7 linked regions of the Sus scrofa genome follow. The protein of the gene in region 7 interacts with the protein of the main gene of each other region in a pairwise test. Links are inferred from orthologs where the notes say so. Each region holds a gene or a part of one and is shown on either strand. Other genes may lie near its edges. The genes, in order: GOLGA2, TEX11, AP2B1, HOMER3, AGR2, NFKBIA and nuclear envelope pore membrane protein POM 121C-like.

Region 1 (4,121 bases), on a different chromosome or scaffold from region 7:
AGGAAGAGAGATGGGTTCAGGGCAATGGAATGCTGGAGAAGAGAGAAAGGGACCAATACCGTGGCCTGTGCCATCTTTCCTACCAGCCCCTGGCTGCCTTGCCAGAGACAGAAACCAATGTAAACAAACAGGTGGAAAAGTCCCCTGGAGGATGCAGTCACGTAGTTCCTTAGACGAACAATGCAGCTCTTCACGGCAACTCAGACCCTTAGGCCCAGACGTTTAAAAACCAGACTTCAGAATAAGGGTCTGCTTGAACAAAGGGGGCTACCACTAAAAAACTGAGTTTGAAAGACAATGATCTGATCCAACAGTGTCATCTTCACAGATGAGGAAACTGAGGCCCAGGGGAGGAAGTGATTGTCCTGAGGCCACCTAGCAAGCTGGTGGCAAAGATGGCCTTGAAACTCAGACGGTCTCCTAATCCAAGTGCCTAGGAACCCCCTCAGATCACCCTGGGGCTCTGCTGGTGCTTCTACATGGAGAGCCTGAGGGCAGGCGGCTGTTGGCACTGCCTGGCTTCCCCTTGAGGCTGGGCGTGAGGAAGATGGCCAGAGTCAAATAGCAAGGACTCCTGATTGAATGTTTACTCTGCACCAGGCCCCGTATTAGGGGATTATTATAAAACCAACGACAATCTCATTCAAGCTTCCCAAGGGTAAGACAGTACGACCCCAGTTTTACCAATGAGGAAATAGACCCAACGAGTTTAAACAAGTTGCCCCAAACACATCCCCAGCAGAGGAAGAGGTAGAATTCAGACCCCAAATTCTTAGCCAATATCTGACATTTCTTCCACAATCTTAACCACTACCCTCTACTGTTGTCCCCGGAAGCCAGCCAGGCAAGACTCACATCCTCAGGTGTGGGACAATCCCCAGAAGTGGTTGTCTCAGGGCTACTGCCATTCTTGATCTTTCTTTTTTTCTTAGCTCCTGCAGGAACACCAGGGCTGTGCTTCTGCTGATATTCCCTTAACTGCAAAAAGGGAAAAGCAGTGAGACTCATGAGAACTATAAGTGCGCCCCCCCCATTTCACATCCTACTTTAAAGTTTACAAAATACAGAGGTCCCCCATCACGGTTCAGCAGAAACAAATCTGACTAGTACCCACAAGGATGCAGGTTTGATCCCTGGCCTCGCTCAGTGGGTTAAGGATCCGGCATGGCTGTAAGCTGTGGTGTAGGTCACAGATGCACCTCGGATCTGGCATTGCTGTGGCTGTGGCGTAGGTTGACAGCTACAGCTCTGATTCGACCCCTAGCCTGGGAATTTCCATATGCCATGGGTGTGGTCCCCCCAAAATAAAATAAAATTAAAAAGATTACAAAATACTCTTCCATATGCCATCAGATTTAATGTTACAGCAACTCTACCAGGTGTCATAATTGTCCATGATTCAAGAAAGGGACTGATAACATGGCTAGGGAGGGGGAAAAAAGCAATAATGGGTAATAAGGGAATTTAAACTCAGTCTTCAGACACTGAGTTCTGGGGTTATGACATCTGTCAACAGCTGCCAGAGGCAGAGGTGGAAAAGTAAACATTTAATCAGACATCAGGGTCCTTTCTTACACCTGTTAGAGCTGCACACCAGTTCTTATCAAACTTTCACACCCATTATCCTAATGGCAGAAGACAGTGAAAGCAACACCCCTAGTAAATCTGGAAATGTAACAGAAAGGGGACAACTCAGAGAGAAGTCTATTACAACCTTATGAGTCTATGCAAATGTCATCCCTAACTACATTAATACGAAAGGCTTCTCTCTCAAGAGAATCAAGCCAAATTGATGCTGCGGTCCCACATTTCATCCTGCGGCACTTAGGATGTTGAGATGATGATTTGGGAAAGATTCCCCAGCTGGGAAGTTCAATTTCCGGGGATCTGTTCCACAGAGGATAAGCAGATCTCACTCCAAAGAGCACTGAATGAGGGGCACTCTGGCCTCAGATTCACAGGGAATTAGAGATAGAAAATTCAGGTGAAAAATGTGAAAGTCTCTCTGGATGGAAACCAGGGAGAAAACCAAACTAAACAAAACACATTCTCCCCATTGCCACCCAGAGATGATGTCCATGTTTTGAGATCACTGGTGAAGTGTAAAGCGGGGGTCTTTTACGCTATCAACATCCAAGGATGGGGTACAGTCTAGAGTAAAGGGGCCTGAAACCCAAGTCGGACCTAGGTCCGATAGTTCCGACTTCCCATCAAGCTGGAAATCTGTGCCGCGGCCAAAGAAACCGGAAAGGGTGGGAAAACACTAGGGGACCGGGTCGTAGTATCAAACACCGGGGCTCGGGCTCCGGGCGGTAATGACAGTTCCGAGGGGGATTATGACGTAACTACATTCCACTCCTCCCTCCCGACGCCCGAGTCGCCGCTCCGCGGTGGGGGAGGGGAGCGCAAGGCCAGGACCGAGGTCCTTGGAGACCGGGAGACTAGGGAGCCCAGGGAGCCCAAGAGGTCCGGTTCTGGGCGGCGGGAGGCGAGGGCCGAACCTGAAGCGGGAAGCCCCGGGGGTCACCAGCCCAAAGTCACCCGGGGGTGACGAGTGAGGGCGGGGGCTGGGCTGCCAGGGGGCGGGACTGGCTGAGAAGACTTTTTGAGGGGGGCGCCAAGGGGCGCCGAGGGGCTCGCCCCGTGTGCCTTGGAGGCAGCACAGACTCTGGCCATGGCCCGGCCATCGAAGGGGTCTCGGGCTGAGTCAGGGAGCCGCGACCCCGCGTGTTTTACCTTTTTCTTGGCCGCAGCCAATTTGCTCTGTCGGGTTTCTTCCGACATCCCGGGACGGGGCGGGGGAAGGGGGGGCCACATCAGCACGATCCCGGCAACCACCGCGGAATTGCTTCCGGCAGTCACCGCGCCACTGTGCGACTGAGCCAGAAAAGGAGGGACCGGGGCGGTTCTAGGCAGCAGCGGCGTGGGCGTGGCCTAGATTCTCCAATCCCATTGGCCGATTGGAAAGATGAAAGGAAAAGGGGGCGTGGCTAGGCCGCCGCGAGCCAGGTGGAACGGGTGGAGTCATAATACAGGCTGCGCGCGCAGCCGCGGTCCCCGCCCACCTCGGCGGGGGGAGGGGCGGGGCCTGCTCTCGCAGGGTGCGCGCGCAGCTGGCTGTATAACGACTCCTGGTCTCCATCACAGGATTCGGAATAGCTGGCGGGCTGAGAGGCCTCTTTTTCGCCCTCGCCCTGGACCCTCCTGCACTGCAGACCCCCCCGAGTCGGGGGCCCCGAACCCCAGGGCTGAGGAGGTGGGCGAGGAGCGGACAGCACGGGGAAAGCACATCCCTTCCCAGTCCCTCTCGCTCCCGTAGCTTTGCCCCCAACTTTCTTTTCCCTGAGATCAGCTCCAGAGGCCTCCATCCGCTCCTCCACACTCTACCCCCTGTCCGAATACCCTCCTCGAGGAACCCCACCCTGATCCCGGGAGCATCCAGTCGCGGTCGCTCCTCCCGCACGGCTGTCCCTCCTCTCACACCCCCAGAGTACCGCTTTCCTGCCGAGGCGGACTCTGGGTCCAATCAACTTTTTCCCTTGGATTCCTCTCCAGGACTCAACCAGGACTTTCCAAAAGCTGCCGCGGGGCCTTCCGATCCCCTGTGAGTATGCCTCTGCCCCCTCTCCGGCCCTCCCACCCGGTTAGCTCCCTCGGCTCCCAGCCCCCCTCTCCGTCCCCAGCAGCGGCTGACCCACCCGCTGCCCTCTTCGAGGTCTTCCCTCAGCTGACCTCATTCTGCGGAGAAAGTCCAGGTCATTTCGCAGTCCTTCCCCTTCTTTTCCTCCTGCCCACCAAGCTTCAAAAAAGAAAGAGCATCCTGGCGTTCGTCAGTGGTACCCCAGGCTCTGCAAGTGGGCTCCGTCTCTCCTCCTTCCTGCCAGCGCCACAAGTGGTTGGTTGGTTTCCTTCTTTCCACACCACTGTCCCTCCCTCCCACTGTCCCTCCCTCACCCGTTCCACCCCCTTGGAAACCACTCTCATTCCCTCAAACACATGTGCTCTCTCCTGTCTTGGGCATTTGGATACACTGACCCCTGTCTGGGATACTGTTTTTCCAGCTTTTGGCCAAACTGATACCTACGCATCCTTTAAAGCTGAGCTTCCTCAGAGAAATCTCA
Region 2 (4,144 bases), on a different chromosome or scaffold from region 7:
CCCTAGTCTGGGAGCCTCCATAAGCTGTGGGTGCTGACCTAAAAAGCCAAAAAAAAAACAAAAAACAAAAAAGCAAGTCCAGGAGTTCTCACTGTGGCACAGCAGTTTAAGAACCCAGTGTTGTCTCTGTGGCAGCACAGGTTTGCCCTCAGGCCTGGTGCAGTGGGTTAAGGATCTGGCATTGCCACAGCTACAGTGTAGGTCATAGCTGCAGCTGGGATTCAATCCCTGGCCAGGGAACTTCCATATGCCAAGGGTACAGACCAAAAAAAAGAAACATGGCAAGTCCAAAATGAGATATGCTTTAAGTATAAAATACATATCAGAAGTTCCCATTGTGGCTCAGCTGGTTAAGGACCTGATACAGTCTCTATGAGGATGCGGGTTCAATCCCTGGCCCTACTGGCCCCACTCAGTGGGTTAAGGATCTGGCATTACCACAAGCTACAGCACAGGTTGCAGATGCTGCTCAGATCTGGTATGGCTGTGGCTGTGGCGTAGGCCTCAGTTGCAGCTCCAATTTGACCCCTAGCCTGAGAATTTCCATATGCTGCACGTGCGGCCATAAAAATAAATAAATAGATGGATAAAACACATATCGGACTTAAAAGACTTTGTACAGAAAGAAAACAAATAATGTAAAATATTTCATTAATAATTTTATATTGATTACGTATTGAAATTATAACATTTTAGACATACTTAGCTAAATAATTTATATTATTAAAATTAATTTTTTTCTTCCTTTTTTTGGCCACACCCTCAACATATGGAAGTTCCCAGGCCAGGGATCCAATCTGCACCAAAGCAGTGACAATCGGATCCTTAACCACTAGGCCACTGGGAAATTCCCTATTTAACCTTTTCTATTTTTTATTTTTGTCTTTTTTTTTTTTTTTTTTTTTGTCTTTTCTAGGGCTGCACCCATGGCATATGGAGGTTCCCAGGCTAGGGGTCAAATCGGAGCTGTAGCCACCAGCCTATACCAGAGCCACAGCAACGCCAGATCCAAGTCACGTCTTCAACTTACACCACAGCTTACGGCAACGCCAGATCCTTAACCCACTGAGCAAGGCCAGGGATCGAACCCACAACCTCATGGTTCCTAGTTGGATTCGTTCACCACTGAGCCATGACAGGAACTCCCCTATTTAACCTTTTTTAAAGTGGTACTAGAAAATATAAAATTATTTATGTTTGCATTACATTTCAATTGGTCAGCACTGCCCTAGAGCCTCACACACTGGTGCTCAAGAAATAATTTAGTGAGTCATAAGTAACATTTTTTAAAATGAAAAGGTATAGAATATTACACATCATAGTGCACTGCATGTAATAAGGTTAAAATGATTTCATTAAACTTTTGATATACTGTGATGTAAAATACATTTCCTTGCCATAGGTGGTGGTCAAAATGTTTGAAAGCTCTTGATAAACTCTCCAAAATAGTGTTAGTTGTCATGCTGTTGTTTGTAATAGCAAATATTTGAAACAACTCATACATCCAACAAAGTAGATTGGATAAATTGTGGTACACTCACATTAAATGTAATAGTGCTAATCAATAGTGTAAATAAATGAACTAGAACTAAAATATCCACATGGGTAAATATCCAAAACATAATACTGAGCAAAAAACACAAGTTGCAGGGGAAATAAAAATCATACAAAATGATACAATTTATGCAATATTTTAAAAGACGAAAAACAGGTACATTAATCTTTTAAGTTCTTTGGAACAGCAAAACATCTGAAGCATATGGAAAACTATTAAGATTCAACAAAACTCAGTGGTAGTTACATAGGTATTCATTATATTATTCTCCTTTTCTCTGTGCTTCAAATATTTATTTAAACACAATGTCTAAAAAAAATATACTTAAAAGTCATAATCTCTATTTAATATTTATATTTTTAAGATACTATAACCTAAATTAAAATTTAAGGTAGCTGGTAGTGGGCTTTGTTATTGCTTCAAAATGACAAGTGCTAACAAACTATTGACCTAAACTTTCTGAAATCATAGATTTGTAGCCACCTTGGTTACAACATATTTCACTATTATATGAAATCAGATCTGATCATATCCCCAGAAAAAATGAAATGTGATAAACTCTCCCATACCTGGCATGGTTAAGGAATCTGGTGTTCTAGTCAATCAAATAACTTTTGTTTACTAAGAATTCATACATAGAATACTAATTTTCAAAAGAATTAAGATACTACATATATATACATATATATACTACATATATATGAGCCACTGTACTATACATCTGAAACTAACACAACATTGTAAATCAACTATACTTCAATTTATTTTGGCCACGCCCAAGGCATGCAGAAGTTCCAGGGCCAGGGATGGAACGGGTGCCACAGCAGCAACCCAAGCCACAGCAGTGACAATGCCAGATCCTTAACCCACTGAGCTACCAGGGAACTCCTAATTTATTTTTTACTGATGATTATGGAAAGGCACTTCAGGACCTAACAGTAATTTTTAATGTATTTTTAACACAATAAATTTCTATGTCAAATTAATCCAGTGTCACTTTGCATGCCATAAAAATCCAAAGAAAATAAGCTATGAATTGTGAATTATTATGAATTCTATTTCCCTACACTAACTTATAAAAGGGCTCCAGCGTCTTAAACATCCACCCTGTTTTCTGGTACCAAAATGAGAAAAACTGGTTTTATAGATATTCCAGAAAGATAAAATTAGGCAAGGAAATTCATTTAGAAGATCTTACATAAGTCAGCAAACAGATTGACATTTTCTACCATATATAAGCTATATACCTTTAAAGTCCATGAAACGAAAATCAATATCGTCCATTTTTAATATCTCTCGGTCAGGCCTATGAAATAAGAAAATACTTTAATATTCTGTAACTCATCTTCCAGTTTCTCAATAAATTTCAATTTTTTCTTATTACTTGTTAACCAAAAGAAAAAATGCTGTGAAAATTTTAAAACCCAAGAAAAAAGCAGTTATGAGAGGCAGGACCAGGTTGCCCGGCCACATGAACCCGGGCTAGAGGAAATTTTCATCCCAAGTCTCTTCTTAGGACAATCTGCCCGGCAACACGAAAATCGGGACTTGGGGTACCCTGTGATTGGACCGCCTGGTCCATACGTTCAAAGCAACCAATCACTGACACTCCTTTTTCCCGCTCTCACAGACCTGCCTAGCGCCTCAGCTCCCCGCCCCCACAGTCACCAACCGTCAGCCTTCAACCGATTTTAGGTCCTTCAAATCCAAACTACAGCATCTATCATATTCCGTTTTCAGTGATCCCGCAACGCTCCCCCATACTTCATCCAAGTCCAAAAATCCTGCCTTCGCCCACCTTCCTTCATCCGAGAGTCAGCGCCATAGTTCAAAACTGTCGCCTCAGGATCACTTTAAAAGGTGCTGACCTAACGGGTCACATCTTCTTGCTAGTTAGAACCCATCCAACTAACCTGCATCTGACGCTCCTACAAAGACTACTCACCTCAGCCAGGACCGCTGACAGCACAATGCTCTCTGTGACCGACCACGGCCCTGCAGTGCCAGTAACTAACGCTTGGAAAGCTCCTCCCCCCATAGTGACGTCAATCAAAGGCACCGCCCAATTGACCTTTGCCCTCCATCGAGAGTCTGAGCCTCCTGGTGGCACAGTGCGGGCATTAAGTTCTAGGGATGCAGTTCAGAGGGCCGGGGTGAAAATCACTAAAAGTGAGGGAGTATAGTGCAACACTGAAACATAGCGCAATTGTTGTGAGAAGTGTGCAGGTGTGGAGAATTAGAGAAAGAGGAGAGAAAGGCTTTGAAAGAAAAAAGGGGATGGGAGAAAAAGGAAGGGGTTAGAGGAAGGAAGAGAGGGAGGAGAGGAGCGAGGGGGGAAAGAAAAGTAAACAATGTTGCCCACTGGTTATTAAAGAGTCAGAAATGTCATAAGTTGGGAGGTCCCCTTGTGGCTCAGCACGTTACAAACCCTACTAGTATCCATGAGGTTGTGGGTTCAATCCCTAGTCTCAGTCAGTGGGTTAGGGATCCATTTCTGGGAGCTGTGATGTAGGTTGCAGACAGGGCACAGATCTGGTTGCTGTTGCTATGAGTGTGGGTAGGCCGGCAGCTGGAGCTCTGTTTTGACCC
Region 3 (4,313 bases), on a different chromosome or scaffold from region 7:
CGGGACACTATGTTAAAAAATAAATAAATAAAGCTGCCACAGTCGAAAACATAATTACTCTTATTTTCCTAGCTCCGAGTGTGATGTCACTGCATTTCAGAAAAGGCCTCTCTGTACAAGATCATACATCTAGATTTAACATAACCTAGTTTCTACTAAATATAGGTTGTAAAAGTCCCTTCTCAACTATTCCTCTCCCCTTCCACTGCCCTAAAGAGAATCAGGCCAGAAAAAAATTAATAGGGTGTTAATTTCAAATGGTTCTCTGGGACATGGCAGCTAAATTAGAGTTGGCGAGGCCACTAAATCTCCTCTCTTCACATAAAGTTGGGCTTTACACAGTTGGTATTTATAGGGAAAAAGTGAAACAGTAAACCAAATTATAAAGCAAAAAGGTCATTCTACAATCTTTCATTACAAAGGTGAGCGGTGCTAATTAGAATTTTCAATAATGCAAAGGCAATAGCATCTTCTGGTACCATTTATCGCATAAGAAATTACAAGAATTGGGAGTTCCCGTCGTGGTGCAGTGGTTAACGAATCCGACTAGGAACCATGAGGTTGCGGGTTCGGTCCCTGCCCTTGCTCAGTGGGTTAACGATCCGGCGTTGCCGTGAGCTGTGGTGTAGGTTGCAGACGCGGCTCGGATCCTGCGTTGCTGTGGCTCTGGCGTAGGCCGGCAGCTACAGCTCCGATTCAACCCCTGGCCTGGGAACCTCCATATGCCGCGGGAGCGGCCCAAGAAATAGCAACAACAACAACAACAAAAAAAGACAAAAAGACAAAAAAAAAAAGAAATTACAAGAATTGACTACAACAGACACAGCTGTAATTTCCATTTAAAATTGACTACAAAGTAATTTGTTAGTTCTATACAGTGGGAAAGAAGTTTTACATCCAACTCTTAACTGAAATAAACTCTGGAAAACTTAAGCCTGGAAGGAAAGAAAGAAGGAAGGAAGGAAAACATGTCCTATCTAATTCTATGCACCTTGGTTCAAAACTGTGCCTAGGAGTTCCCGTCGTGGCACAGTGGTTAACAAATCCGACTAGAACCATGAGGTTGCGGGTTTGGTCCCTGGCCTTGCTCAGTGGGTTAACGATCCAGCGTTGCCGTGAGCTATGGTATAGGTTGCAGACGAGGCTCGGATCTGGTGTTGCTGTAGCTGTGGCCTAGGTCAGCAGCCACAGCTCTGATTCAACCCCTAACCTGGGAACCTCCATATGCCGTGGGAGCGGCCCTAGAAACGGCAAAAAGACAAAAAGACAAAAAAAAAAAAAAAAAAACCTGTGCCTAAAACAGGTTAAAATATGGGTTTAAGGGTCCCACGTTGCTGTGGCTCTGGTGTAGGCTGGCGGCTACAGCCCTGATTAGACTCCTAGTCTGGGAACCTCCATGTGCCACGGGAGCCGCCCTAGAAAAGGCAAAGACAAAAATAAGTAAATAAATAAATAAAATATGGACGTGTATAAAAAAGAAAAAGTTCTTCTGAACTGGACTTCCTTGAGTCTCTTCAATCACAGAATGTTAACTTATATTAATTTTGCCACCCAACTTTCACTGAGGCGATTAGCAGAACACACTATGCTTTCTGCTTCTTTGGGAGTTTAAAATGTTAAGATACCTGCAAAGAGTTCTCACCTTACCACCACGCTTAGTCATCATTGGAATGTGTTACACGTTTTCTTGTACAGCTGCACCTCCTTCATCTGCTTTCTATTATTACTTTGTAAGTGTACCCTGAGGCTAAGCAATAGAAGTACACCAGGAAGGTGATTAATGATTTAAATTGTTCCCCGTAGAGACCACTTTCTTTGCCATTCTCCCTTTTCTAAAATTATGGCGTTTACTTTCTCTTTTAAACCATAATAATTATAACAGTGTTGGCATTTAAAAAACACTTCTTTTTAAAAGTTAAAGTTTAATGAAGCGTCCACATTTTATTCACACTGCTTCATAATGAGGCAGCATAATGACAACTTCGTAATGAAAGAGTTCAAAAAAAAGCCTGCCCCCAAAAAGAAGGGTGCTCTGAAAACAGCATGAATCAATTCTTCGGATTCAAAGAATATATATGGAATAACAGGAAGTTCCCGTGTCTTTACCTCTGTCTTAATCTACAGTCTTTCTCAAACCAGACCATTCCTGCTAAGACCAGAAAGAAAAAATTCCGGGCTAAGATTTACTCCCACTTGCTTCCCTCCCCCTACATAGGGTCAATTCCGGAGGTTTTTCTTCCCTTTCTCCAACGTCAGGAATTCCTCCTCCTCCCCCCAGATGGTCATGACTCTAGGGATAGGTTCCTCCATTACAAGGTGGGGAAGAGGTGTCTCAACCTCAAAACGACGGGAGACTGGCGAGGATTGCTTATCAATGAGCAAAGCTTTGGGGGAATCCCTTTTCCCTTCTACTGGCTGGACACGTCCCAGCCTCTCAATGAACGACGCCAAACCGGGAAGGAAGGGTCTCCCCCTGGCCTCCAGTCTTTACTGGCCACACCCCTGGCCCATGGCCCTCGTAATCCCCCGACTTCAAATATACCTTTCTTTCCCCCAGTGTCCCCCAACTCCCAGTTGCCACCCCGAGGATTCCCCCGCCCCGCCTCAGCGGTGGAGTCCCTTTCTCCAACCCTATTCCTCACAACGGTCACACCCGACGGCTCACTCCCTCCTCAACGGTCACGCTCCTAGGATTTCCTCTCCTCCGCTCGTCTCCAACCTAACCTGGGGTTCCCCCTTGCCCATCAAAGAGGGACACACCCCAAAGTTAGCCGCCTTGAACTCACCGGAGGCAAGGGTGGGGGTGGCGGCAGCGGCCAGAGAGCACGGCCCGAGCGGTGTTGTAATGGTTTCCTGCACGTCACGACTCCTTCTCCAGGTCTAAGCCACTGCGCAAAACCCACTTTGCCAGGGACAAAGATGGAGGACAGGAAGCCCCTGACGTCAGAGAACCTCGCCGCGTGGCGTCATCCAGGCGCGCGAGAGCACCAGAAAGGCAGCGCTCTCTGTCGCCTTGGAGACGAAAAAATTTTGCGCGGCAGGGAGAGACCTGAGGTCAAGGCCTCTGAGGAAGTTCAGTGGCTCTCCTAAGGGATCTATTAAACAAGCTGATAGTCTTTGGAATTTGTTTCCTCGCGTAGGTATTCTTTAAAAATTTACACATACGGTAAAAATCCCCTGTTGCTTTCTGTTAAAAACAAAAAACCCCGGCTAATTTTCCTGGCCAATTCAAGGAAGTGAACAATGGTGATCCAGCCCAATGGTGATCCAGTGGGACTGGAGGAGAGTGGGGCAAGGAAAAGAGGCTAACATAGCATCAGAGCTGAGTTCGAATCCCTGTCCTGAATGTGATTATGAAAGTAACTTAATGTCTCAACCTTAGCGTTCTTACCTATAAAATAAAGCCAATGATATAACTCAATCCAGTTTGTGAAGTTTTAACTGGATTAAGTAGATAATATGCCTAGCATGTAATATGGGTGCTGGCACAAAAGCAGCCTCCTTCAGAAACCAAGATCCAAAAATCTCTGCACCTTCCCCTCAAAACATCCCACCTTAATCTTAAGTAATAATGGGGGGGGGGTGTGCTGGGGTTGTGGGATGGAAATCCTATAAAATTGGATTGTGATGATCACTGTACAACTATAAATGTAATTCATTGAGTAATTTAAGAAAACTTAAGTAATAATAATAAAGTATTTAACCAAAAAAGATAGGAAGACAGCCTGAGGCAGAAGCTTGGAAACCAAAATACAAACAGGACTAAGGGTAGAGAAGTAGAAGGAAAAGCAAGCAGTTGTAATGATGTAGGATGTTTTTAGAGTTCTATGAAAGTATAAGAACTATATATCTCTTAGGCCCAGCTTCCCTCCCCCAAATTTGTTGAATGAATAAATGTATGAATGAGTGGTCAACAGTAACAGCTGCTATAGAGAAAAGGAGGAAGGGCTGAAAAGTGTCCAAGGATTTAGCAACACAAAGGTCTTTGATGTCATTGCTGAGACCATCAGAGATAATGAAGGCAAAGCCCATGCTGCAGAAGTGCGAAGATAGATGGGAAGGAAATGAAAACAAGAGTTACAGACAAGGAAGTCCCATTGTGGCTCAGCGGGTTAAGGACCCGAGTTTTCTTTGTGAGGATGCAGGTTCTATGCCTAGCCTCACTCAGTGGGTTAAGGATCCAGCGTAGGTCACAGATATGCTGCTCGGATCTGATGTTGCCATGGCAGGGGAATAGGCCTGCAGGTCCCATTTAACCCCCTAGCTTGGGAACTTCCCTATGTAACAAGAGTTAGAGATAATTCCCTATATTA
Region 4 (3,125 bases), on a different chromosome or scaffold from region 7:
AGCCAGTGTCACCCTGGGTGTGCAGTGGGGCCACAGAGCGAAGGCGTGTCACTTGCAGGAGATGCTCAATAAATGGATCTTTTGACTTTCCTGGTAGGACTCTCAGGGAGAGGGGGCAGAGGGAGGAGGGTGTGGCCGCCTGTGGTTCTCCAGCCCCTCAGAACATCATGTCGCCCCCACCCCTCCCCTCAAGTTCTTCATTCTGCTGGACCAGCCCCAAAGCTTTGAACTGCAGGGCTGACCATTCCAGCTAGGTGACCTTGGGTTGGTGAAGCCCCTTATATGGGCCTCATCTGGAAAATGGGAACAGCAAGTGCCCTACTCTGCAGATGCAGATGTGAGGTTTAGGCGAGATCACATGCTAGCGAACACAGCCATGTTCTAGGAGCTTCCCCACCCGCCCACCTGGTGGCATTGGGGGTTTATGGCCAGAGCGAAGGGGGGCAGGCTTAAGCAGGGTCTGCCTTAGTCCAAACTGGTCCAGAAAACATGGGCAGAGCCCTCCAAATGGCTTACCAAGCCCTATACAGACTGAGGGCGGACAGAGGGCCCAGTGACGGCGGTCAGGTACCCATGGCTCACACACCACACACACACAGCCACGCTTAGAAATGTAATGTGGGCACTGGTATGCACCCCAGGGAGTCTAGAAATTCTACACAATGAAAAGCTCAAAAACAGCCTCCGAGCTGTGAACAGCCGGGGCTGACTAGAGTACGGTGGACAGGCCTTCCCCAGGCTGAGCTGGGCCCCAGTCCCTGTCAAGGTGAATGGCCCACTGTGCCGCCTGCGGCCTGGCCCGTGCCCCAGGCGGGAATCGTTCATGTAAAACCAGCTCCCGTGGGCACCCCTGCCCCCACGTAGACCCGGAGGCAGACTCAGGGCGCGCCCTCGGCCAGGCGGGCCAGGCCCTCCCGCAGCTCACTCAGCTCAAAGAGCCTGACGTCCAGCAGCTGCGCGGCCCGGCCCACCTCGGCCCGTGCCCGCTCCCGCTCTACCCGAGCCTCCTCCAGGCTGCGCTCAGTTGCCCGCAGCTGGTGCTCCAGTTCCGCGTTTCGGGTCTCCAGGTCCTGCAGGGAGAGGGCAAGCAGGGTTGGGGGCCCCAGCAAGTTTGAAGGGTCCAGCATCTCAATGGTATCCCCACAGCCTCCACTCTGGGCCAAACCTTCTATGTCACCTGGCTTCCCTGGTCCCCCTGCCAACTTGAACATCATTGAACTGACCACTTTCCTCTTCTATTCAAAACTCTCCTGTCACCTATCACGCTGGGAATGAAATACATAGCCCTCTTTCCTCTCTTTGTTCATTCCAACTCAGCCTTGCTGGCTTCCTTGTGGTTTCTTGAACATAATGACTCCCCCACCCCACCCCAGGGCCTTTGCACATGCTGAACACTCTGCCCAGAAGAAAACAGGGAGCATCCCTCTCCCAATTTCTCTCTCTTTGGGGGCAGAAGAGATCCTCTAAGTTCTCTACCTGCTGGACTCACAGGACATGCCCCCAGGAACATTTCTCAGATAAAGTCTTCAGTGAAAGCCAGGCCAGCCGCACATGGGTACAAATGAAGGCTCCCAACCTCAGGCTGGGGATGTGTGAGGATTTGATGGGGTCAAGAATGGAGATTCAACAGAGATTCAAAAACTGCTTGTTGGGAGTTCCTGCTTCGGCTCAGTGGGTTAGGAACCCAACTAGTATCCATGAGGAGGTGGGTCTGATTCCTGGCCTTGCTTAGTGGGTTAAGGATCCAGCGTTGCTGCAAGCTGCTGCGTAGGCCATAGATGTGACTCGGATCTAGCACTGCTGTGGCTGTAGGGTAGGCTGGCAGCAGTGGCTCTGGTTTGTCCCTTAGCGTGGGAACTTCCATATGCTGCAGCTGTGACCCTAAAAAGCAAAAAACAAACAAAAAAAACAAAACAAACTCAAAACTGCTGGTTGCATGAAAGGAATGAGATGAAATATTATACTAATAACTTGCTTATAAACCACCCACTGTGACTCAATCCCTCCATGTACCTGGTCACCTGAATCCTTCACAACCTTAGATGTCTTCCTGACTGCATTCATAGATGAAGAAACTGAGGCTCAGGGAAGCACATAGCTGCCCAGAACCCACCAGGAAAGGGAGATCCCATGTCTGTCCCATACCAGGGGCTGGGGGCCCTAGGCAGTCATCCCACCCTCACAGCAACCACACACACCTGCACCTTCTGCTGTGTCTCCTCACGTTCGGTGGTGTCTGGTGCCTCTCGGGTCCCACCAGTCTGGCTCTTCAGCGTCTGGATCTCCTGGTGGAGAAGTTCCCAGGATCTGTTCTGAGGGTCCTGGCTCCCCCATAGGAGATCAGGGAAGGCAAAGTCCAAGGAAACACACATGCACACAGACAGTTCACACACCTGGTCCTTGGTTTGCACTAGTGCCTCCAGTTGCTCCAGAGACTGGCCCGGCCCCTCCTTCTCAGTGACTGTGGGTGGCTCAGTGGCAGCCTGGGCCTCCAGTTCAGCCACCTGCAAAGATAGGAGGGTCAGTTCCCTGACCCCCAGTCTGTACTCTGCTGACCCGTGGGGAATATGCCTCCTGATCAGTCAAGCCCATGACTGGGCACTCACCCCTTCTATTTGGGGCCACCACCCTGACTCTGGCAGATGAGACTTTAGGGTCCTAAAGGTAGGACAACCCTCTGAGGCTCACATTATTTCAGACCCATACTACAGAGCACAAAACTAAGGCTCAGGTCAGGGAAGAGACCTGCGGAGATCACACAGCCAGCCAGCGGACCCGAGACAGACAGGGCGCAGGGACTTCACAGTGGCCTGGACCACTTGGGGTCTCTGGGAGGGAGGGGCTCCCTCACCCGCTGCCGCAGCCTGTCGGCCTCTGCGCGCTGGGCCTCCAGCTGCTGCCTCCACTGGGCGGCGGCGGCGTTGGCCTCTCGAAGGGCGCCCGCCAACTTGTTGTTACTGTCCTGCAGCGCGAAGAACTCGGCCTCCCACTGCACCTCGCCCACCGAGCTGCGGGAACACTGGAGTCAGCAGAGGGCAGGGCGGGGCCTCACTGGGCGGAGGACCGGGTGAGGGCGGTGCTGTGCTAGGGGGCGTAGTTATGGGCGGGGTCAAGATACCTCGAGG
Region 5 (4,093 bases), on a different chromosome or scaffold from region 7:
AAAAGCAAAAAGTCAGTAAAACTGAATTAGTAGTCTTCAAAATCTTCAGATTGCATCACAACCAGGGGATGTAATAGGTAGGAGGTGAGGCTTAGATGGGATTGAACACTTACAATTGAATGAAAAACTACCTTCCATAGACATTTCCTAAGATTATACAGTATGAATGCCTATCTATTTATCTGTCTGCCTCTATTTAGATGTAGATCCAGATAGATAAAATATACTGATGAAGATATCCATAGAAATCTACAATATAGGAGTTCCCCTCATGTCTCAGCAGTAAACGAACCTGACTAGTATCCATGAGGATATGGATTTGATCCCTGGCCTCACTCAGTGGGTTAAGGATTCTGAATTGCTGTGGCTGTGTCATAGGCTGACAGCTGTACCTACAATATGACCCCTAGCCTGGGAACTTTCATATGCTGCATGAGCAGCCCTAGAAAGCCAAAAAAAAAAAAAAAAAAAAAAAAAGTATAGAAATAGATTCAGATATATTTTAAGGAAATAAGATATATATATATTTTTATAGCTAAGGGGATTTGCTTTTAAATTTTATATTTAAAAAATTTTTGTGGTGGAATGGATCTTAGGGGTTGCCTCTCCTTTTCTCCCATCTCCCCAGTGCCTCATTTCATAGGTGAAGAATCTGAAATTCAGAGAAATTAAGACTAATGAGATGGGCATAGAAGCAAAGTTTTTGCACCTTATCACTTTGTGGTGCTGGCTCCCATCTTTTCATCCTGAAAAAAATTACCCTAGATGTACATTTTGTTAACATGAGGACATTGCCATTGAAAAATAAGGTCTGAGTAAAATGATTTTTTTCATTTGAAAACTGCCAACTTTCAGCTAGAGACTTGCAGTCACACAACGCTCTCCCTAGTGTAACATTTACTCAGACTCTATATATTGGTTCTGAATTGGTTAAAATACATCGGTGCAAATTTCTTCCAGTGAGCTGATTCTTTGACTCTCAGTGTGAGCCTGTATAATAGGCCCACAAAAATATATGGCCCACACAGAGAAACCAACCCCATGGATGCCTCTTTGTTAATTGTTTTTCCTTTCCAGTATTCCAAAGTTAATTCTCTCGAATGTTACACTACCGCAAAGCAGATTCTTATAAGCAGGAAAGTGGAGGGGAAGGTATGATCCATGAGTATGTGAGGGAGTGAGCTAGCCAGCAAAGTGACTTGCACTAGCAAATCACTAAGGTTATCCAGGGACCATAACATGTAAAGCTGGAGGCTTGGGATGCTAGCAAAGCCAAAGACTGAAACTGGTTAAAAAGAAACACCCCACTCTAATACTGGTGTTGGTTTGAAATAAATATATTTTGCAAAGGAATCAAGATGGACTACTATAAAATTCTTGGTCTTTTTGAGGTGTAAATTTTTTTTCTCATCTTCTGATGGCTTGAGTGGGAACTTTTGCTAAGCATTATCCAATATTAAAAAAAGGCATTGCCAAGTTACCAAATCTAGATGATGTCTTGTATTAAACTGACTGATTATTATCTATGTTGTACTATGTAGCCACACAATGTCTCACTCAAAAATGATATAAGCAAAAATAGAGATATACTTTCTTCATCTTCTATACACTTAAAGATGCAGACATGCCAATAACAATTTTCATATCCAGCATTTTGGATAAAAAACTTAAATGTGATATAAGTCAACAATGCTCAGCCTTCTTAGTACAAAGACTTCTTTTTAATATAAGCAACAACAATAACAAAACTCAAGAACCTTTATATGAGAATAATTACTTTTGGGATATTTGCTGAGTCAGAAAAATATCATGGCAAATAATGACTTTAAATTTATTAACAGATATTTGATTTTGTATTTGATTTATAGCAATGTATATTAGAAAAAATAACAGTGAGCAGTGATGTATTCATTTAGTCCATTGACAATTCTCATTGTGCAAGTGGCATTAGAAACCCTTGCTATAGCTCTGAAGCTGTCTGATTGGAACTATTGCTATCTGATGTGTATTTTACGCCAGGATGACTCAAAGAAGCTGAAATCACTCCTGTTGTATAAACATCCTGCTCTGAGCTGACTGAGATTCACTGTACCAGGTTTTCATTACATGAATAGATGCTGCTCTGCAAATTGCCTGCCTAAACCACCCCAAAACAGAAGACATGGTAAGACACTGATAATTTGGAGACACACACACACATACACACACACTGAAACCAGCACTTTTTACTGGTCCCTGTATCTTTGTCTTCTCGACTTTAGCAAGGAATGACTTGCAGGAGGTTCTGTGTTCCTGTTCATAAATGCTCCAGGAAAGCAACCAGATCTCTCCTTTTACAGCCTATCCCAAAATTTAAAGATTGAAGAAGCAACAAGGATATCTTTATATCAGGTAGAGAAAGGAAACTGCTGATTTGCAGTAATATTCTGAACTGCGGTTCCAAGCAACCAATCTGAGCTGAGGTTTTACAGTTCTGTGGGTCTTGGTTTTAGCCAGTGGGACCGAAGCAGAGCATTTGATGGTGATCAAGGCCCAGTGACCAAGACAGAAGACCCAGGGTTCTGTGCCAGGCTTGAAAACTCCCAGAGTTTGCTCACTTTAAAACCTCTGTTTCCTCAGGGAGAAACCATTACCCCTGAATCTGCTCAGAAACAGAGCTCTGCTAAAGAGAGGCCCCAGGAAACCTTTGTTGGAAATTCCATTATTTCCTCCCCAAATTCAATTTCACTGCCCTTGGGACTACCCTGCATTCCTCTGCCTGTTGATTGCCTGCAACTTTATACAGTAACCAGAAGCCAGCACTCACTCTAACAAGTGCCCTTCTAATACTGCTGTCAGGAGCCTTACCTGAGTTTCCCCACCCACCTGTCTGTGTGAGCCGGCAGCGATGCGGTCCAAGCTTCCTAGTGTGCTGGCTCAGCCCAAGCCTCTATTTATGCACCTGAGCGCACCTCAGTCCCACCCACTAATCCCGTATTCACAGGTTGCAAACCCCCAAAAGGAACTTTTCTTTTCCCAAGTCCCCCGTAGGCTAAAGAGTTCTTGTTTTTTAAAAATAACACTGCAAAGGGGTTGCCTTTCAGTATGCATGTTTTTAACTGTTTGTGAAAGTATATTGTTAAGAGATTTGGAAAAGATGGGCAGAATGCCAAATCCAGGTAAGCTTTAAGTGAAGACATTTGATTTGCCTGAAGGTTGATTTGTCTTTATGTGATTGGATGGAGTTTGTGGTTTGTAGAATTTTTTTTTCTCCCTCTTGGGCAGATAGCCTCTATTTAGTTGAAAATGCACAAGAGATGATTCACAGTTCTAACTCTTACCGTCATATGAGCTGCTGTCCTCCATTAGAGTATAAATTATTTTACACAATGTACTTCCTCTCCTTGGCAAACAAAATGTACACTCACTATACGTATGAAAAAATACAAACCAAGCCTTCACATAGTATTTTAAAACTAGGGCAGTTATTGAAAAAAAAATCCTAATACTATGAGTTTTTATTAATGACCTTGCAGCCATTTCCCTCCAAAGAATTCTAGGATATTTCATAGATCTTCTCTCATTTAATAGCATACTTTCCTGCCAAGCATGCAGGAAGCCATTTATACCATTTTCAGACCTAGAAACTAAGGTCTGCAACTACTTTTTCTCATTCAATATTATGTAATTATTCACTCAACATTTTAAAGCTGAACTCAAATTTTCTGTAAAAAATTTTAGTTGTGTGGTTCTCTTGTGGTGCAGTGGGTTTAGGATCCAGTGTTGTCACTGCAGCGGCTTGGGTCACTGCTGTGGCACAGGTCCTATCCCTGGCCCAGGAACTTTGACATGTCACAGGCACAGCCAAAAAGCTTTTTTTTTTTTTTTTAGTCTTTCTTGTGTTTTCTTCATGAAACTGTGTGTAACCTTTCAAAGTTCAGAATGGAGAAATCTTCAACAACAGAAAATTAATTAATGGGATGCAAGCCCTACAAAAATAACTTTTAAAAGAAATTAGGATTGTAATATTTCAAAACATTTTCAAGTCTGTAAACTTTTTTTTTTTTTTTTTTTTGTCTTTTTAGGGCCGTACCTATGGCATATGGAGTTTCCC
Region 6 (4,053 bases), on a different chromosome or scaffold from region 7:
ATGATCCTCCTTGGCGCCTTTCCAAAGTTCACAAGAATAACAAAATCGGGGCTAATCCACCAGAGCAAAATGTTTCAGGCCAGGCAGTGTGCGGTGTGGTTATAAGTATACCCTTTTTTCTTTTTTTTTCTTTTTTTCTTTTTTTTTAGAAAAATAAAACTCTTGATTTTGTACAAATGTACAAGTCCATGGTCTTTTAGACACTTTCCAAAGCTCATAACGTCAGGCGCTGGCCTCCAAGCACGCAGTCGTCATAGGGCAGCTAAAAGGGGAAAGAAAGGCATGTTAAACTTCCAGAACTTTGCCAAAGGTGCTGGGGTGATGGCAAGGGCTGCTACTGGAAATAACGCAAGTATTCTTGGACTCCGTTCCCTCTAACCCGAATCTGAATTAACTTCCTGGGCTGAAGTTTTCCTTTAAGGATCCTCTCCTTCAAAAAGAGCAAAAAAGCAAAAGAAAACCCCAGACCATAATCCTCCCCCTAAACCTACTCTTAGGACACTGCTTATGCTCCCTAATTTGAGATCCTCATTATGTTGAGACCCTCAGGAAAAGGAGGAGCTCTAGGGGTCCGAGAGCATTGCTTTTTGCAGACCCGTGAACAAGGTCATTGGGACTCACCTCATCCTCTGTGAACTCTGACTCCGTGTCATAGCTCTCCTCATCCTCGCTCTCTGGAAGCATCTGGAGGTTTTCTAGGGTCAGCTGGCCCAGCTGCTGCTGTATCCGAGTGCTTGGGCGGCCCCAGGTGAGCTGGTACGGGGAGTAGCCCTGGTAGGTGACTCTGTTGACATCAGCCCCACACTTCAACAAGAGCGACACCAGGTCGGGATTCTGCAGGTCCACCGCAAGATGCAGGGCGGTTCGGCCATTGCAGGGCTCCTGAAACCAAAAGGAATTTGAGATGCTTATGGCTGAGTCTGAGGTTTCTGCTAGCAGCAAGAGCATGTGATCTTATTGAGGGCTGAATGCCCTCCATCTGTAGGCTTGAAGCACCCACCTGAGCGTTGACATCAGCACCCAAAGACACCAACAGCTCCACAATGCCCAGGTAGCCATGGATCGAGGCTAAGTGCAGACATGTGTGGCCTAGAGTACCAAAAGTAACAAAATATAAGCACTTGTTGCCACCCTCACTTCTCAGAACTTTCACCTATTCTTTTAAGGGAGGAGGTCTTCTGAATTTGAAGAACCCAGACTCTGGGTTCTGAATGGACTTTAGTAAGGCATCAAATGCATACATGTTTTACTAAGACCTTGATGCATACATGTTTTCTCAGCCTTTCACGTGTTGAGAGTTTACACCTTGCCTTAAGTCGGCCCACCTCTCCCTTGTCTGTGTCACGTGCCCTCTGATGCATAGGGCAGCCAGACTTACCATTGTAGTTGGTGGCCTGCAGAATGGAGTGGAGGTGCTGGGTCCCGCGGGGCTGAGTCAGGACTCCCACACTGGCCAGGCAGCCCTGCTCACAGGCAAGGTGTAGAGGGGTATTTCCTCGAAAGTCTCGGAGCTCAGGATCACAGCCAGCTTCCAGAAGTGCCTCAGCGATTTCTGGCTGGTTGGTGATCACCGCCAAGTGGAGTGGAGTCTACCAACAGAAGAGGGACAGAAAGGATAAGCCATGGATCAAACCCACAATCCATGTTCCCCTTGAACCCTAGAGATATCCTGGTTGTGCGTGCCGCTCCTCCCAGACAGATACAAGGGGTTAAGGAAACAGACGGGAGACCCCAGGTGGGCTTCATAAAAGCCTCACCAAATCAATGGGATTTTTCCTTCCTCTCTAGGATGTTGGCTGATTCAGATGTAAAAGCTCAGGGCGGATCATGACTAGGGGCAGTTAATTGGGAAATCATTGGAAATAACTGTGCTAGATCCAGCTCCATCAAGGGGTCAGAGAGGCAGAACCCAAGAGGCACGGGGCGGGCAAGCAGCGCACCTGCTGCAGGTTGTTCTGGAAGTTAAGAAAAGCCAGATCTCCCTTCACTTGGCGGACCACTTCCATGGTCAGTGCCTTCTCTTCATGGATGATGGCCAAGTGCAGGAACCTGAGGGGAAGAGAGGGAAAACCCCCAGGGCTGGTGAGTGCACTGCGTGGGGCCCAGGGAGGCACAGCCCGCAGGGGATTGCGCAAGCCCGGGGTTTCTGGAGGCCGAGGCCGCGGTGTTTTCCGCGAGGTTATTATGAGCTGAGTGTTCCTGGCAGGCACCCAGGGACTTTCCGCCCCCCCCCCCTCCCCAGGCGGCGGGCGCCGGCCAGACCGCCCCGCCCTCCCGCCGGGCCGGAACGCCCTGTACTTCCCCTCCCGCCCGCCAGCGGGGCAGAAACTCCCGCCCCCCCTTATGCAAGCGGGGACTTCGCGTCCCCGTGGCCGCCCCGCCCCCGGCCGAGGGGACCCGCAAAGGTGGGTGAGGGGTGGGAGGTGTGCACGGCTGCAAGGTAGAGCCGCGGGACCACGGCCCCAATCCCCGATCCCCGGCTCCCACGCGCAACCGTGCACCTTTGCACAGCCTCGGGGTCCGTGCACGAACCCCGATTCGCGGCCGCAGCGCGGGCCCCGCACCTCCGGCTGCAGGCCCAGCGCCCCCACCCGGCCCCGCCACCCGGGCCCGCGACACTTACGAGTCTCCGTCCTCGGTGAGCTGCTGCTTCCAGGGCTCGGCGCCGCGGGGCGCCTCCTGCGGCTCGAGGCGGATCTCGCGCAGCTCCTTCACCATCTGCTCGTACTCCTCGTCCTTCATGGAGTCCAGGCCGCTGTCGTGGCGGTCATCCAGTAGCCGCTCCTTCTTGAGCGCGTCCCGGGGCCCCTCCATGGCCCACTCCTGGCCGGGCTCTGCGGGCTGGAACATGGCGCGATGAGGGCTTGGGCGCTGCTCCCTAGGTGCGCGGGCCACAGGCTGCGCGGCGCGCTGGCTGCTCGCGGTGGCTCGGGCGGGCGGGACGATGGCCTCGGACTGTTGTGGGCTCGGCAGCGCCGCCGCGGCGCCCTATAAACGCTGGCAGGGGATTTCTCCTGGGCGGGGTCAAGCTCGGGGAATTTCCAAGCCAGTCAGACCAGAAAAGAGAACTGGCCTCGTCCTCTGCTGGGGGAAAAAGAAGCCTAAACCCCGCGCCCGGGTTCATCAGAGAAACTCCCTGCGATGAGCCACTGGGGTCATGTACAGGGAACTTTTTAATGCACGCTGAGTGGCTGGAAAGTCCTCCCGACCCGGCCCCCTCCCCCGGTACTTCCCTGCAGCCTGCAGTCAGTAATCCTGGCCCTCTGCATGGAACCTTATTTTCCCTGGGGTTTCCCACGATCGATTTGATTTGGGGTCGTCGGCTGCTAAGATCCCAAGGATGGAGAACTGCTGGTTTGCTGACCTGCCGATGCTTTCCTTTTTTTTTTTTTTTTTTTTTTTTAATCTCTTGAAAATGGGAGTGGAAATGTTGGCTGGATCTAGGGATTCACTTCCCTAAACTCCTGGGGAAGGACACACTGAGGGTGGAAGGTCGCCGGCTGCCTCTGCGTTCCTACCAAAGACCAGGCTCCTGGCAGTGCAGGGACATAAACCTCCCCCTCCCTCAAGCCCCCCTCAGGTAGAAGTCGTGAAAGCTTTAGCATTAACAGCGTAAATGCTTAGAGAACCCTCAAATCATTTCCTCGGTATGAACAGTCCTGTTGACTGGGGGAGGAGCAAGCACTCTGCCCTGGATGCTGGAAAATGCTGGATATGACTGGGCTATTTTTCAGGGAAAGCAAGGTGTTAATTTTTATAGCAAAGGTTGTAGATACTTTGCAGTGACAAAATAATTACTGAGGTCGTGTTCCTCCATTTGCACTGTGCTGCTGCAGAGAACCTACTTGTGGGGGCCGCTTTCTAGAAGCATTTGGAGAAGGTGGCTAAAGAATGGGTTGAGTAGTATTTTACCCAAGATTGGGCCTTAAAGATGGCTAAGAAAGTAGTTGCCAGGCATACTGCAGGAGGCTCAGGGCAGCCCCAAGGTGGCCTTCATCCTGCCCCTGCTGGCTTCTTGGGGGACAAAGGAGGGGGCAGCAGTTGGACCTGTCC
Region 7 (4,221 bases):
CATCTGTTTTGCTGCAAGTGGCCGGATCTCTTGGGCATTTAAGGCTGGATAACACACACACACACACACACACACACACACACACACACACACACACACACACACACACACACACACACACACACACACACACACACACACACACACACACACACACACACACACACACACACACACACACACACACACACACACACACACACACACACACACACACACACGTTATCCATTCATCTGTTGTTGGGCACTTACCTGGTTTTCTTATATTGGTTATGGTGAATGTTCCTGCAGTGAACATGGGAGTGCAGATATCATTTTGAAGTACCGATTTCATGTCCTTCAGTTTGAAATTGCTGTATCCTATGGTATTTTTTTTTTTTTCCTTTAACTTTTTGAGGAATCTCCATGCTGGTTCCCACCATGGCTGTACTAATTTACATTCAAATGAGATGACCTCATTTGGTTTCTTTTTAACCATTCAGATGGAATCATCTGAATGATTACAAGTCATGTAGTCATATGAGGGAACAAGTAATCGGTCCTTTGGAAGTTTTAAAACTGTGGGGCACCAAAGACTATTATTTTGGTCGAATATATTAGACTATTTACCTGTCTATCTATGTAAAGATAGTGTTTTATTTGTGTTCTTTTCTGAATCCTCTAAACATTTTAACATACAGACATGTAGTACGTTTCTCCACTTTCTCATTATTTCAACCGTAGATAAAAATACAAAGATGATGAATCATTCATCATATGGAGATTATGTTTAACATGTCTTAACATGTTACTTAGGTCTATTTCAGATTTGGAAAGTGTTGTAAAATCAAGTACAGTACATCCCACTGAGGTTCCCCTTTTGTCTTCATTGATAGCCTCATCCCCTGCCTGTGTAGCATTATCCTAAAGTTGACATTCTCCAAGCATTTTTATGATATAGGTATATGTGTCTGTATCTTACCTATGTGATTATTTTCACTCAAGTATATCTGGCGCATGCACATTTGTTTTGGGGGTTTTATTTTTGACTGTTTGTTATTATTATTTATTCCGGGGCTACCCTTGCTTGCGTAGTCACGGTGTCTGCAGCAGCTGCGGTGACTGCAGGAGGCAACCTGTGGAGCGGAGGTTGATAGCCAGTGTTAGGGACCTTGGGTCTGTGGGCTGGTGCCGCCAGGGGCAGGGGCAGCGCTGCTGGGCCTGTGGCTGCTGGGCCTCGTGCTGTACTTGGTGCCCGCGGGGGTGGCGGTTACGCTGGCCTGGCTAGCTGTGGGGGCGACCGCGGCCTGGTGGGGCCTGCGCCGCGAGCCCCCCGAGGTTCACGCGCCTTCCGAACCTCGCTGGTTCTGAAGGCGCGCTGCCATGGAACACTGCTCACCTTGCCTCCGGCGTAGTCAGCAGTAAACGGAAGTCTCCTAGAGCCTCCGCGCCTCTTCCAAGGACTTGGACCCGCGCTCATCTGTTCCTCATGGGCAACTACCTAGGCAAGCCCGCCCCCCCGCAGCCTGCCTCCACCTCGGAGGCCAGGGACCTGCGGGAGAGGCCTGGCCGCCGCCCGCCCACCCGCCCCATGCCGCCAGCTCCATCAGGCCATACCCCCGGGGTTCATACTCACCCCTCCCTACCCACTCCTCTTCCCCGACCCTCTAGGAGGACGGCCCTCCGGGGTTGTGGCCCTGTAGCACATCGGTTTGTAATAACACCTCGAAGGAGATACCCAATCCAGCAGGCCCACTATGCCTCGCTGGGGGTCCTTCCCACGGTGTGCTGGAATAGTTGTCACAGGAAGACTGTGCTCTCTGCTCGCAATTCCAAAGTGGTGTGCAGCCCAGTGAGAGTGAGGATTGCTCCTCCGGATAGCAAGCGGATTCGTCCCCCGCTATCAGAGCAGAGTAGCAGCTCAACCGTGTCCTCCCCATCAGCTAGTGCCCCAGACCCATGTGCAAAGGAGACTGTGCTGAGTGCCCTCAGAGCGAGGAAGAAAAGGACGGTGAAGGAGGAAGACCAAATACTGGCTGATGGCCAGGAAGAAAAGAGAAGGCGCCAGGACAGCAGTGGACGTGGACATTCAGCATTTGAGCCGCTGGCGGCCAGTGGAATCCCTGCCTCTTTTGTGCCTAAGCCTGGGTCTCTGAAGAGAGGTCTCAGTCCCCAGAGCTCAGATGCCCACTTAAATAAGAGGTCACGCACCTCTTCTCTGAGCTCCTTGACCAGCACGTACTCAGGCGGCGTGCCCATCTCCAGGCGCAATGCCATCACCAGTTCTTACAGTTCTACTGGAGGTCTCTCTCAGCTGCGGAAGAGGAGTGGTCCTAGGTCATCCCCCTTCTCCAGGCCAGCTTCGTCCTGCTCCCAGGCTCTAGCGAGGCCAGCAAAGGAAATAAGAGAAGAGGAACTTTCTCATCATTCGGCTTCTTCAACTGCATTCACAACAGACAAGGAGTCCCAGGGAGCAGAAGTTGCCGATACCACCACAAGGGAGAAAGAGAACTCGTGGAGTTCTCCACCAACACCTGGCAGCTCAGGGCAGCGTAAGCGGAAGGTGCAGCTGCTGCGGTCCTGGCGAGGGGAGCAGCTGACCTTGCCTCCACCTCCCCAGCTTGGGTATTCAGTCACTGCGGAAGACTTAGACTTGGAAAAGAAAGCTTTGTCACAATGGTTCAGCGAGATCTTGGAGGATAAGACTGATACTGCCTTGAGCGCTGTCCCTGAGAACCCACCTACCGGTCAGCCTCCGGTCTCTTTCAGCCTGCCTACTGCTGGGACTCCTGCCACCAAAACCTCCCTCCCAGCCCCAAGCCCTAGCCCACTGTTGAAGAGCTTGAAGAAGCAGCAGGATTCCCCAGGCCTACCATCGCCCCCCAAGTCTGCTGGCATGGCAAGCCCTGTGGCCCATTCGCCTCCGAAGACACCCAGCCCTCTGGCCCCTCTTGGCTCTTCACAGTCAGGGCCTCTCGCGGGCACCTCCTCGGACTGCAAACCTACAGCCGTTTTCTGTGGCGGCACCCTTACCCCCGCTTCTTCCACAGGACCAGTCACTGACACCAAGTCACCTCCAGCCCCTGAGGCTGAGACGTCTGCCAACTCCCAAGCCTTGTCGGCCCCCCCTCCCCCTCCCAAGCAGAACATTCCTTGTAGAATGCTGGGCACCTCACCTGCTAAGCCTCCTGCCTCTGCAGCTCCTGCTGTGTCTTCACCATCTCCCGTGCTAGATCCCATTTTTTGGCCCCCTCCTAAAAGCAAGAACGAGGGCCCCTTGCCCTCTAGCCCTTCCAAGGTCCCAGCCACCACATCTTCCAGCTCAGCCCTCCCCGCAAGTACCCGCAGCCCATCCCGCACTTTTAAACCTGGCTTTCACACCAGGGAGGCCCCTGCATCCGTGCCCATAGTAACTCCCTTCTTCAAGCAGGCAGCTCCTCCAGCCAGTGCTATGAGCGCCCCTCTCTTCCCTGGCCAGACCCGCGCCACCTCTGCAGTGGCTGCTGCGACCACAGCTGGCACCTCCGTAGACTCTGCTCTGAAGCCCGTGTTCAGCTTCCGTGTGAGCAGCATGACCAGCACCCTGAGCCGCGTGACTAGCACCACCGCTTCCACCTCCCAGCCCGTCCTCTTTGGGACTCCCTCTGCCTCTGGTGGCAGCTTCACAAACCCAGCTGTGGGTTCCAGCTCCATAGTCCAGCTTGGTAAGCCTCCCACCATGCCTCCTTCAAGAGCAGTCACCAGCTTTGGCCAGTCCCTTCCCGGTGCCCCTCAGGCAGTGGCCAGCAGCAGCAGCAGCAGCAGCAGCAGCAGCAGCAGCAGCGCTAGCACTGCTGGCTTTAGTGATTTGGGCAGCAGCCTTCCAGCCTCTGCCCCAGCCACCACCAGCCAGGCCACGCTGACATTCAGTAGCACCCCCCGCCCAGCCATCAGCGTTCCCTTTGGCTCAAGTGCCAAGCCAGGATCCAACGCCCAGCCCAGGTTTGGGGCCACTGATGGGCAGCAGCAGTGGGCTGCCAAGCCATCCCTTGTCCCCAGCTTGTGCAGCTCCTTCACGTTGGGAAACTCTGCAGCCCCCGCCCCGACTGCCACTCCAGCCACAGCCCAGCCAGCCTTTGGCAGCACCACACAGTCCACTCTTGGTGGCCTGAAAGCCACAGCCTCTGCCTCGGGCACCCTTGCCGGCCCCCAGCCAGCCTTTGGCAGCACCACAGCCGTTTTCTCCTTTGGTGCAGCCACCAC

What was found.
Region 1: the proteins of nuclear envelope pore membrane protein POM 121C-like (region 7) and GOLGA2 interact in binary tests that used the Homo sapiens proteins (3 or more experiments, as listed by UniProt). The two-hybrid records come from large-scale screens. The link is inferred for Sus scrofa from reciprocal best matches to the Homo sapiens genes POM121 and GOLGA2.
Region 2: the proteins of nuclear envelope pore membrane protein POM 121C-like (region 7) and TEX11 interact in binary tests that used the Homo sapiens proteins (3 or more experiments, as listed by UniProt). The two-hybrid records come from large-scale screens. The link is inferred for Sus scrofa from reciprocal best matches to the Homo sapiens genes POM121 and TEX11.
Region 3: the proteins of nuclear envelope pore membrane protein POM 121C-like (region 7) and AP2B1 interact in binary tests that used the Homo sapiens proteins (3 or more experiments, as listed by UniProt). The two-hybrid records come from large-scale screens. The link is inferred for Sus scrofa from reciprocal best matches to the Homo sapiens genes POM121 and AP2B1.
Region 4: the proteins of nuclear envelope pore membrane protein POM 121C-like (region 7) and HOMER3 interact in binary tests that used the Homo sapiens proteins (3 or more experiments, as listed by UniProt). The two-hybrid records come from large-scale screens. The link is inferred for Sus scrofa from reciprocal best matches to the Homo sapiens genes POM121 and HOMER3.
Region 5: the proteins of nuclear envelope pore membrane protein POM 121C-like (region 7) and AGR2 interact in binary tests that used the Homo sapiens proteins (3 or more experiments, as listed by UniProt). The two-hybrid records come from large-scale screens. The link is inferred for Sus scrofa from reciprocal best matches to the Homo sapiens genes POM121 and AGR2.
Region 6: the proteins of nuclear envelope pore membrane protein POM 121C-like (region 7) and NFKBIA interact in binary tests that used the Homo sapiens proteins (3 or more experiments, as listed by UniProt). The two-hybrid records come from large-scale screens. The link is inferred for Sus scrofa from reciprocal best matches to the Homo sapiens genes POM121 and NFKBIA.

Annotation. Positions count from the first base shown.
Region 1 is NC_010443.5:268,717,279-268,721,399, forward strand, and holds the start of GOLGA2 (golgin subfamily A member 2), read right to left. Parts: upstream 2,878-4,121; 5' UTR 2,818-2,877; coding exon 2,737-2,817; intron 979-2,736; coding exon 856-978; intron 1-855. UniProt on the Homo sapiens protein: Peripheral membrane component of the cis-Golgi stack that acts as a membrane skeleton that maintains the structure of the Golgi apparatus, and as a vesicle thether that facilitates vesicle fusion to the Golgi membrane.
Region 2 is NC_010461.5:56,922,250-56,926,393, forward strand, and holds the start of TEX11 (testis-expressed protein 11), read right to left. Parts: upstream 2,856-4,144; 5' UTR 2,840-2,855; coding exon 2,803-2,839; intron 1-2,802. UniProt on the Homo sapiens protein: Regulator of crossing-over during meiosis. Involved in initiation and/or maintenance of chromosome synapsis and formation of crossovers.
Region 3 is NC_010454.4:39,924,025-39,928,337, forward strand, and holds the start of AP2B1 (AP-2 complex subunit beta), read right to left. Parts: upstream 2,855-4,313; 5' UTR 2,787-2,854; intron 1-2,786. UniProt on the Homo sapiens protein: Component of the adaptor protein complex 2 (AP-2). Adaptor protein complexes function in protein transport via transport vesicles in different membrane traffic pathways.
Region 4 is NC_010444.4:58,919,950-58,923,074, reverse strand, and holds the end of HOMER3 (homer protein homolog 3), read right to left. Parts: intron 3,009-3,125; coding exon 2,852-3,008; intron 2,505-2,851; coding exon 2,394-2,504; intron 2,286-2,393; coding exon 2,199-2,285; intron 1,071-2,198; coding exon 879-1,070; 3' UTR 601-878; downstream 1-600. UniProt on the Homo sapiens protein: Postsynaptic density scaffolding protein. Binds and cross-links cytoplasmic regions of GRM1, GRM5, ITPR1, DNM3, RYR1, RYR2, SHANK1 and SHANK3.
Region 5 is NC_010451.4:86,050,948-86,055,040, forward strand, and holds the start of AGR2 (anterior gradient protein 2 homolog precursor), read right to left. Parts: upstream 2,886-4,093; 5' UTR 2,848-2,885; intron 1-2,847. UniProt on the Homo sapiens protein: Required for MUC2 post-transcriptional synthesis and secretion. May play a role in the production of mucus by intestinal cells. Proto-oncogene that may play a role in cell migration, cell differentiation and cell growth. Promotes cell adhesion.
Region 6 is NC_010449.5:64,506,916-64,510,968, reverse strand, and holds NFKBIA (NF-kappa-B inhibitor alpha), read right to left. Parts: upstream 2,851-4,053; coding exon 2,624-2,850; intron 2,406-2,623; exon of another isoform or gene 2,056-2,405; intron 2,050-2,055; coding exon 1,941-2,049; intron 1,590-1,940; coding exon 1,379-1,589; intron 1,090-1,378; coding exon 1,001-1,089; intron 883-1,000; coding exon 622-882; intron 263-621; coding exon 215-262; downstream 1-214. UniProt on the Homo sapiens protein: Inhibits the activity of dimeric NF-kappa-B/REL complexes by trapping REL (RELA/p65 and NFKB1/p50) dimers in the cytoplasm by masking their nuclear localization signals.
Region 7 is NW_018085157.1:60,556-64,776, forward strand, and holds the start of nuclear envelope pore membrane protein POM 121C-like, read left to right. Parts: upstream 1-1,374; 5' UTR 1,375-1,468; coding exon 1,469-4,221. UniProt on the Homo sapiens protein: Essential component of the nuclear pore complex (NPC). The repeat-containing domain may be involved in anchoring components of the pore complex to the pore membrane. When overexpressed in cells induces the formation of cytoplasmic annulate lamellae (AL).